Macaca fascicularis: one gene and its partner. The protein of the gene in region 2 purifies or fractionates together with the protein of the main gene of each other region. This does not show direct contact. Links are inferred from orthologs where the notes say so. Each region holds a gene or a part of one and is shown on either strand. Other genes may lie near its edges.

Region 1 (4,632 bases), on a different chromosome or scaffold from region 2:
TAGTAGGCTGTACCAGCAAAATGGTGTGAGACTGCAGGGGGGAAACATGATTTCAATATAAGTTTCTATTTGAGAAATTCATAGTATGATAAAAAAAAAATCCCCATTTGTAATGCAATAATGATTGCTAGTTATTAAAATGTAATTAGAGAGGCCAGGCATGGCATCCCATGCCTGTAATCCTCATCCTCTGGGAGGCTGAGGGGTGGAAAATCACTTGAGGCCAGAAGCCTGAGACCAGCCTGGGCAACACAGCAAGACCCTGTCTCTAAAAAAATAAAATAAAATTTCCTGGGTGCATGCCTGTTGTCCCAGCACTTTGGAAGTCTAAGGCAGAAGGATTCCTTGAGCCCAGGAGGCTGAGACTGCAGTGCACCATGATCACACCATTGCATCGAAGAGTGAGACCCTCTCTCTTAAAAAAAAAAAAAGTAATTAGGATACTTTTCCCACAAAAATATTTATGTCTTAGTCCAAGTGTAGGATCTAGCTGGATTCACAACTCTGCTGTAAGGTCTCCCTAAGTCTCCCAGTCCTACTGTATTTACTGCCTACAAGTTATCAGTATAAGCTACCTTGTCTTCCTTTTTCTTTTGTATCTTTTCTTCCCAACTAAATTATAAACCTGCTTAGGTTTTCTGTCTCCAGTGGTCACTTTCCATCTTTAATGCTCTTAAGTCATTAATAAAAACTCAGATGGGCTGATGAAAGGAAACAAAAGGGGAAATAGTGTAATAATCACAAGCATGGGTTCAATTTTTTTTGCCAACCTTAGCATAAGAGCAAAGTCACATTTTATCCAGGGGTTAGACTTAACATTAAAGGAGTAGATAAATTAGCAATATAAACCATCATAAGAATTACCCTTAAAAATCCATTGAACTATTCACCTAGTAGATGACTTGCCTTACTGGGCTTTCTCATACCAAAACCAGGTATTAGAATCACACAGAATGTTAGGTTATCACACTATGAGAAATGTGAAATATGCCCGAAAAATAGCAGACAGACGTGTCTTCCACTTCATGCTCACTGGGGAACATGTTTTTGTTAGTGTTCAGTCACTAACAAGTCAATCTCAGTGTTTCTCAACCTGGGCTCTATTACATTTTGAGCTGGCTGATTCTTTGTGACAAATGTCCCTTAGGGAGCAAAAAATCTCATCCAGCTGAGAATTCACTGGTCTGTTGAAAATATGACCCATCCAATTTTTTGCTACCCGTGTAAGGTTGATTAATTAAATGCAAGTATGATGCAACTCCACTGTAAACCCAGTCCCAAATCAAACTATTCACTTTTTTCCTTCTCTTCTGCTGTACTAGTATTTTTCAGCCAAAAACCAGAAAACAAAAATTTCCTAACAACAGGAACCCTAACTGTTTTGGAATGAAAATAATTTTTTTTTTTTTTTTTTTGAGACAGAGTTCTTGTTGCCCAGGCTGGAGTGCAATGGCGCGATCTCAGCTCACCACAACCTCTGCTTCCCGGGTTCAAGAGAATCTTCTGCTTCAGCCTCCCAATACCCGGGATTACAGGCATATGCCATCACGCTCGCTAATTTTGTCTTTTTAGTAGAGACAGGGTTTCTCCATGTTGGTCAGGCTGGTCTCGAACTCCTGACCTCAGGTGATCTGCCCACCTCGGCCTCCCAAAGTGCTGGGATTACAGGCGTGAGCCACTGCGCCCGGCCAAAATGATCAGAATTTTTAACCATCAAATTGGAGCTGAAATAGCTGAATAAACAATGGAAAAATAGTACATTTAACATGACACGCAAAACAAAGGGTTATACTCTTCTCTCCCCATCAATAATTAAATCACTTTGACTAAAAGTTTGAGAGGGTGTGAGATAAAAACGGAACTTGGTGACAAGAGACGAAGGATTAACTCTCACCTATAACCTGAACAGTCAAAGCCTTTGTTAAATCGATTTAAAAGCCACAGAAAGCATTAGATTATTTGTTACACAGAAGTCTTTGTAAGCTAGCTACTCAAAAAGTTTCAATGAGTCATTTGTTAAGAAAAAATAATTTTGTAGAAACCACGTGCATTCTTGCAACAGAGCTTGCCCCTATACACTAGCTATCTCAACTGCTACTATAATTGTATTCCAATTCTAATGCAAATTAAAGGACTAATTTGAAAGCGTAACAATGGAATAAGCTATACAGCATGTTGCTTTTTATATCTAGTCTTAAAATGAACACTGGGCAAAGTTTACTATTTTCAATACTTACTGCCCAAAAACAGGGATTAAAAACCACTAAGAACGTAACATGATACATTTTAAAAAATGTGGTCATTTTAAAATGGCATTGCTTTCCTGCTCAAATTCTTTACAGATTATACCACCTCTCAAGCCAGTTTTGGTCACTTTCTTCGAATTGGAGCTTACTGATCATCCTGGTTGGATTCTAATAGAGCTGGTCTCTGAGCTGAGCCTACTTTTCAGTCTCCAGCCCCAAGAGGATATAAATACAGATAAGAACAGGATCGAGGGCTGAGGGACGCGCCACATGAACTACCTAGAGGTCTCAGAAATAGGAAAAAAAAAAAAAAAAAAAAAAAAAAGGCAGAGCACAGGAAAACGAAAGCTGAGAAAACACTACAAAGTAAATACGACCTCTCCTGGCCCACATGCTGGATATAGTAAGCTGGATCTGTCAGCTTCCAGAAAAGGTTACACAACCCTGGCCCATTGTTCCTACAGCAGGCTAGAGCATTTGGAGGGAAAAAGCACCATTCCCGGCCGGGCCCGGTGGCTCACGCCTGTAATCCCAGCACTTTGGGAGGCCGAGGCGGGTAGACTGCTTGAGGTCAGGAGTTCGAGACCAGCCTGGCCAACATGATGAAACTCCATCTCTACTAAAATACAAAAATTAGCCGGGCGAGGTGGTGGGCGCCTGTAATCCCAGCTTGGGAAGCTGAGGCAGGAGAATTGCTTGAACCCAGGAAGCGGAGGTTGCAGTGAGCCGAGATCACACCACTGTACTCCAGCCTGGGCGATACAGTGAGACTGTCTCAAAAAACAAACCAGAAAAACCACCGTTCCTATGCCTCCCTCTACCGAGTAACAATCGGGAGAGAGCTCATCCTCAGGTCCAAGGCACGCCTGACCCGAGCGAGCAGGCGGGCGCGCAACCGCAGGGCGGACTGGCGCTCCGGGGCCTAGAGTCAGGCCTGGCGTCTCTGCGGCGGGAAGAAGGATCCATCCACCAACTGGAGTGGCGGGGAGCATCACGCCGCGCTGCATGGGGCTCGTGGGGAGAGGAAAATGTATAGGGCTGGGGTCGCTCTGGAGGCCGGGGACTCGGACTCGGGTAGCCGCGGGGGCCTTTCTCACCATCGCGCCAAACTCTCTTCGCTGCAGCTGCTGCCGACACCGCCGCCGTTACACGAGCTTAGCCACAACGCCGCTAACAGCCAATCCCCGCGAGAGGAGCCGCCGGAAGTCGTCGAAAATTCAACGCAAAAGAGCCTTTTGGATCATAGAGGCACAGTCACTTCCGGCAGCTAGAGCAGATACTGACTCTGTTTCAGCCATCTTCGATAAAGGCAAAAAGGTAAGTAAGGGAAAGTTTCCGAACTTTAGGAAGAATTATTTTGTTTCAAGACGCTGTCTTCCGTACTTTCGTTATTAAACATACGGCTCAAGTGAGCACCGGTGTAGACAGTGACATCAGACATCTTTAATTAGCCCTACTCAAAAATGGCGGCAACGTAAGTATCGCGGGCCAGAGGTCGGTTGTAACCCGGAAGTGCCCTTGTAAAGGAGGGGGCGGTTAGACAATCCGGAAGTGGATGGAATGAAGAGGTGCCACTTGGCGGCCATGGCAGCTGTAGTATCGGCGACTCCGGGTCAAGGCCCGGCCGAGTGCAGTACCATGGGCAGCACCGGGTATAGGGCAGAGACAGCTTTGTGTCAACTTTGCTGCTGAACCCCTAGGACCCATCGTTAGAGACCTGCAGGACTCCTTTCCGCATCCCAGGCTCAGAGGACAGTTTGCTGGGACTGGTGGGCTGGTTTCCTGCCGTGGGGGGCGGATCACCTTCGGGGCCGCCTCTTGGAGACAGGGGCGCCTAGGGAACGAACAGGTTCGCTTGAGTCACCCGCCGCCGCGTAAGACGTTGTGCCACTCTCATTCCGACAATCGAAGAAATCGATCATTCGCACATTTTCCCCATTGACTTTTCCCATCTCTGTTAACCCACGAGAATCTAATGACTGGCATCTCAGAACCCAGAGCCTGGGACCCTAGATTGCTGTAAGCTTTCTCTGGTGCTAATATCAGCAACAAGGGTCTGTTTCCGGGTACGTTCAAGAGGAAGGTGCCTCGTGAACACATCTGCTGGTGAGGAGGCCTAAAGAACTGGAAAGCCCACTCTCTTGGAACCACCACACCTGTTTAAAGAACCTAAGCACCTTTTAAAGCCACTGGAAATTTGTTGTCTAGTGGTGGTGGGTGAATAAAGAAGGGCAGAATGGATGATTTCATCTCCATTAGCCTACTGTCTTTGGCTATGTTGGTGGGATGTTACGTGGCTGGAATCATTCCCTTGGCTGTTAATTTCTCAGAGGTAAGAAATTCTCAACTTTCTGTCAGCTGTCGGGATGGCTGTGAGGTAGTAGTT
Region 2 (5,214 bases):
GTGATCCACCCTTGGCCTCCCAAAGTGCTGGGATTACAGGCATGAGCCACTGCGCCCAGCCAAAGGGACTCTTAATGAACAAAGTTGTCAAAAATAGAAACTGCCTTTAAATACTTTTACTTTTCTTAGTCTCAAATCATCACTTTTTCTGACTCCAAGTAGTTACTTTTGAAAGTTAGATTAGTTCGATCATTTATGAGCCCGTGAAGAGACTCATTATTTCTGTCAAGGAAGTGTAATGGAATGGAAGAGAAGAACACTTAACTGTAAAAGAATCCAAAACAAAACCAAACTAAAAGCAGAATGGAAAGAAAGTGAAATGGAGCAAAGCAAGTGCCTCTTACAAGGCCCAAGAACGACATTCAAGGACCTTTGGACATATTCATGGCTTGCTACCTGCCTCTTACAGGCCAGACACAACACTGCTGGCCTTGGACTGGGCAGCAAGCCTACTGTAGCCAGGGTACCATGCTACCGTGCTGCACGACCCCTGTATCAATGTAAAAAAATGTGAAAAGGGAGGGTGTTAGGAGTCTTTTAAAATACATCCCACCAAATAAATATTTCAGACAGCTTAACATAAAAGTCTACTGATAAGGGGTTTTGAAACAACCGCCCAATTTGTTTTGTGTACCACATGAGATGCAACTAAGAACAGAGGTCTGTAGCCTTCTGTTGGTATTTAGCTTAAAACTGGCTTTGTGCACTGGACCCCAGGGCCAAGTTAAGTAATGTTTTCTTAGGAAGGAGCTGAAGTTGCTGTTGGCTGCCTCACCGCTCATTTAGAGACATCTTGGTGGTGCTTTTTAGCACAACTTTCGGCGCTGACTGTGCAGCCATCTTCAAATCCCGAGAATCTACAAAGGACAATACGTAAAATGAGCAAATCACAATAGTGACCACATCATTTCTATAAGTGGCAAGGCCCAAGTCAACAATAAATAAAAAGGCCTTATCACTGATGACTTAAGAGCACATGAGGGCACATTTCAAGTGCTTAAATTTCTTTTTCTTTTTTTTTTTTTTTTGAGAGAGGGTCTTACTCTGTCACTCAGGCTGGAATGCAGTGGCATGATCTTGGCTGCAGTGGCTCACGGCAGCTGTAATCTCCTGGCCTCAAAGGATGTTCCCACCTTGGCCTCCCAGTGCTGGGATCACAGACATGAGGTGTCATGCCCAGCAAAAGTGCAAAAGTGCTTAAATTTCTATGGCAGTTACCTCACATTACTGTAACTTCAAGGTGGCTGGGCGTGGTGGTTCACCACCTGTAATCCTAACACTTTGGGAGGGTGAGGGCACAGGATGGTTTGAAGCCAGGAGTTAGAGATCAGCTTGGGTAACAAAGTGAGACCGAGTCTCTACTAAGAAAATAAATAAATAAATAGTGCATGGTGGCCAGCACCTGTGGTCCTAGCTACTCAGGGGGAGCTGATGTGGGAGAAGTGCTACAGCCCAGGGGTTGGAGGCTGCAAAGAGCTGTGATGACGCCACTGCACTCCAGCCTGAGAGAGACCCCAACTCTTTAAAACAACCAACCAACCCCAAACAAACTCCAAGGCCCAGAAAATACCCAGGAAATTCTCAAAAACGGCAGAACCCAATTTAGCAATCAAAGTATGGAGTCTGGCCTTTTTTTTTTTTTTTTTTTGAGACGGAATCTCACTCTCTCGCCCAAGCTGGAGTGCAGTGGTGCGATCTCGGTTCACTGCAACCTCTGCCTCCTGGTGCAACCGATTCTCCTGCTTCAGCCTCCTGAGTAGCTGGGACTACAGGCATGTGCCACCACGCCCGGCGAATTGTTTTTGTATTTTTAGTAGAGACGGGGTTTCTCCACGTAGGCTAGGGTGGTCTTGAGCTCCTGACCTCACCCGATCCACCCACCTGGGCCTCCCAAAGTGCTGGGATTACAGGCGTGAGCCACCGCGCCCGGTCGAGTTTGGCTTTTTCTCTAGAGCAGTCATTTTCAATCTTGACTACATATGACTTATCCAAGGAGCTTTCAAAGGGCGCGGTGGCTCACGCCTGTAATCTCAGCACCTTGGGAGGCCAAGGTGGGCGGAATGCTCGAGCCCTAGAGCTCAAGACCAGCCTGGGCGACATGGCAAGACCCCGTTTCCATAAAAATATAAATTAATTAAAAAAATAAAAAATACAGATATCTGGGCCTAGATCAATTAAACCACAATCTCTAGTAACGAGGTTTGGAAATGAACAATTGTGGGGTGGAGGGAAAGCTACCTAGGTGCTTCTAGCGTGCAGTTAAAGTTGAAAACTACTGATCTAGAGTGAAAATATAGGCAGGGCCGGGCGCGGTGGCTCACGCCAGTTTTCCCAGCACTCTGGGAGGCCGAGACGGGCGGATCACCTGAGGTTGGGGGTTCGAGACCAGCCTGACCATCATGGAGAAACCCCGTCTTTACTAAATATACAAAATTAGCTGGGCGTAGTGGCGCATGGCTGTAATCCCAGCTACTCGGGAGTCTGAGGCAGGAGAATCGCTTGAACTCGGGAGGCGGAAGCTGTGGTGAGCTGAGATCGTGCCACTGCACTCCAGCCTGGGCAAAAAGAGCGACACTCCGTCTCAAAAAAAAAAAAAAAAAAAAAAAGCCTAGTTTAAAAATTGGCTTTCAACTCCAGAATCAAGTAGAGACTTTTGTAACAATAAACTAATGATCTCGGGGAGTGCGTAGGAAAGGTTTTCTAAATTCACCTGGGGAATGAGCTCGCAAAGAGCCCTCCACAAAACTTAACCCTAAAGCCGCCATTAATTTCCAACATTCCTCAAAGTCTTGTATTTCTTAATCTCCCTACCATCCTCAAAGCCCTATCAAGACTTCCACTTTTGCTCAACCCAAGTTTCCTTTTAATCCCTATCAAACCCCAACCTCCATCAGTCCCGCCACCAGGTTCCAGTTCAGCCCCTCCCCCGCCCCTTCGCAGGGGCTCCGCCTCCTCCCCCGGGCCTCCACGCTCCAACACCGTAGCTGTGTCCACATGCCACCACCCCCTTTCCGCGTCCGCCAGCCCCTTCCGCTCTCCAAGACCCCGCCACCCCGCTCCTTCTCCCTACAGAAACTCACCGAAGGAAACAGACGCCAGTGCTCCTCCCGGGGCTGCCACCACGGCTCCGGCAGGCGGGCCGGGGACCGGCCGAACCTGAGTTGACGGTGGAGGGGCTCGGGTTAGCTAGATGGGCGGTTGGTCAGATGCGTAAGCGGTAGTATGCGAGCTCAGTTCGTTGTTGCTGGTTGGCTGTCTAGCCGGCCGATCCGTCTGCTCACCCGGCCTGCCCTTTCTTGCCTTTCGTCTGCAGCGGCCGCCAGCTCCGGCTCGGTGTCCAAAACAAAATGGCCGCCACATGCAGTGCTTGTGGGACCGGCTAAAATGGCGTCTACGCCATTACGTCAGGCGTCAGATCCGCTCACGACTAGAGGGCGTGAAAGATTTGAGCTCCGCCTGCGCAGGGATCAGAGGCGGAGCCTTAGGGTGAACTTCAGCAAACTTTACCTTAGCGGTATAAGCAGTGCCCCGCCCCCTGGGGGCGTGACAATGGCCCTATCGGGGCGTGCCGGGACTTCAAGTTCCCGTAGTGGTTAAGCTGCAACCTCCTGGGTTACTAGTTAGTAATCAGGGTCTTAGAGGGGATTTGGGTTCCGAATTCCCTTGCCCCTCTGTTCCTTAGGCAAGGTACATCGTCTAAAAATCTTTACGCGGACTTGCCTCGTCTTCTTCCGGACAACTGGGCCTGGGGAATTTGCACTGGTTTTCCCCTCATGGCCAGTCGCCCAGTCTGAGAGTTGTAAAGTGCCGTAAATGCTCCCGCCAAGGCCCAGTATTGGGAGCACATTCCTCTCCCATCCTGCGCTGGCCAACACCACCGCCCGTCCATGTTTTCCTCTTCACTTCCTCCCCTTCCCAACTTGGCCTAAATACTGTTTAATCCTTCTTGCGGGGGGTGCACCTTTGCGTCCTCGATTGCGCTTCCATGTCCTCCCTCCACACCTGCCATCCGTGTTTATTTTGTGGCAGACCTACATAGGGATTTCTCTTTTCTCGCTTTTTGATTTGTTGTTGTTGTTGTTTTGAGACGGGGTCTGGCTCTGTTGTCCAAGCTGGAGTCAGTGGCGCAATCACGGATCACTGCAGCCTTGACCTCCTGGGCTCAGGTGATCCTCTCACCTCAGCCTCCCGAGTCCTAGGATTATAGGCATGAACTATGTGTCCTGCTCAATTAAGGGATTTTTCTTTCTTTCTTTCTTTCTTTTTTTTCTTTTTGCAGATGGAGTCTCGCTCTATCACCCAGGCTGGAGTGTAGTGGTACCATCTCGGCTCACTGCAACCTCCGCCTCCCAGGTTCAAGCGATTCTCCTGCTTCAGCCTCCTGAGTGGCTGGAATTACAGGCGCGTGCCACCACGCCCTGCTAATTTTTGTATTTTTAGTAGAGATGAGATTTCACCAGGCTGGTCGCTAACTCCTGACCTCGAGTGATCTGCCCACCTCTGTGTCTCAAAGTGCTGGGACTACAGTCGTGAGCCACCATGCCCGGCCTCAATAAGGGATTTTGCTTTTTTTTTTTTTTCTTTCTTTTTTTTTTTGAGACGGAGTCTCGCGCTGTCGCCCAGGCTGGAGTGCAGTGGCCGGATCTCAGCTCACTGCAAGCTCCGCCTCCCGGGTTTACGCCATTCTCCTGCCTCAGCCTCCGGAGTAGCTGGGACTACAGGCACCCACCACCTCGCCTGGCTATTTTTTTGTATTTTTTAGTAGAGACGGGGTTTCACTGTGTTAGCCAGGATGGTCTCGATCTCCTGACCTAGTGATCCGCCCATCTCGGCCTCCCAAAGTGCTGGGATTACAGGCTTGAGCCACCGCGCCCGGCCAATAAGAGATTTTTCTAATGGCTATGTGCACAATACAGTGTGCATATGTTTGAGTAATGAGAGAATGACACATCTGTCCCTGCCCACCCTTTCTCCGCCCCATAGGCACGTGAAGACCCTTTCATTTTCCTTCCTGGCACTGGCACGTGTGTGTATGTGTGTGTGTGTGTGTGTAAGGCCCATGTGAGGGTAAGGATCGTGGTTATTTTGCTTAATGCTGGAGCCTCAGTTCCTACACAGTGTTTACACACAGTACCACTTAGGTAAATGTTCGTTGATTGAAAGAAGATTATTTTGGCCAAGCGCGGTGGCTCACACCTGTAATCCCAGCACTTT

What was found.
Region 1: the proteins of CHTOP (region 2) and ERH purify together in Homo sapiens (affinity purification with mass spectrometry; 3 studies listed by BioGRID and IntAct, with this or other methods). This does not show direct contact. The link is inferred for Macaca fascicularis from reciprocal best matches to the Homo sapiens genes CHTOP and ERH.

What each region holds. Positions count from the first base shown.
Region 1 is NC_088381.1:137,312,347-137,316,978, forward strand, and holds the start of ERH (enhancer of rudimentary homolog), read right to left. Parts: upstream 3,347-4,632; coding exon 3,344-3,346; coding exon of another isoform or gene 3,252-3,343; exon of another isoform or gene 3,120-3,251; intron 32-3,119; coding exon 1-31. Other genes in the region: SLC39A9 (zinc transporter ZIP9), read left to right, coding at 3,252-3,563. UniProt on the Homo sapiens protein: May have a role in the cell cycle.
Region 2 is NC_088375.1:107,531,039-107,536,252, forward strand, and holds the start of CHTOP (chromatin target of PRMT1 protein), read right to left. Parts: upstream 3,345-5,214; 5' UTR 3,081-3,344; intron 858-3,080; 5' UTR 841-857; coding exon 776-840; intron 1-775. UniProt on the Homo sapiens protein: Plays an important role in the ligand-dependent activation of estrogen receptor target genes. May play a role in the silencing of fetal globin genes.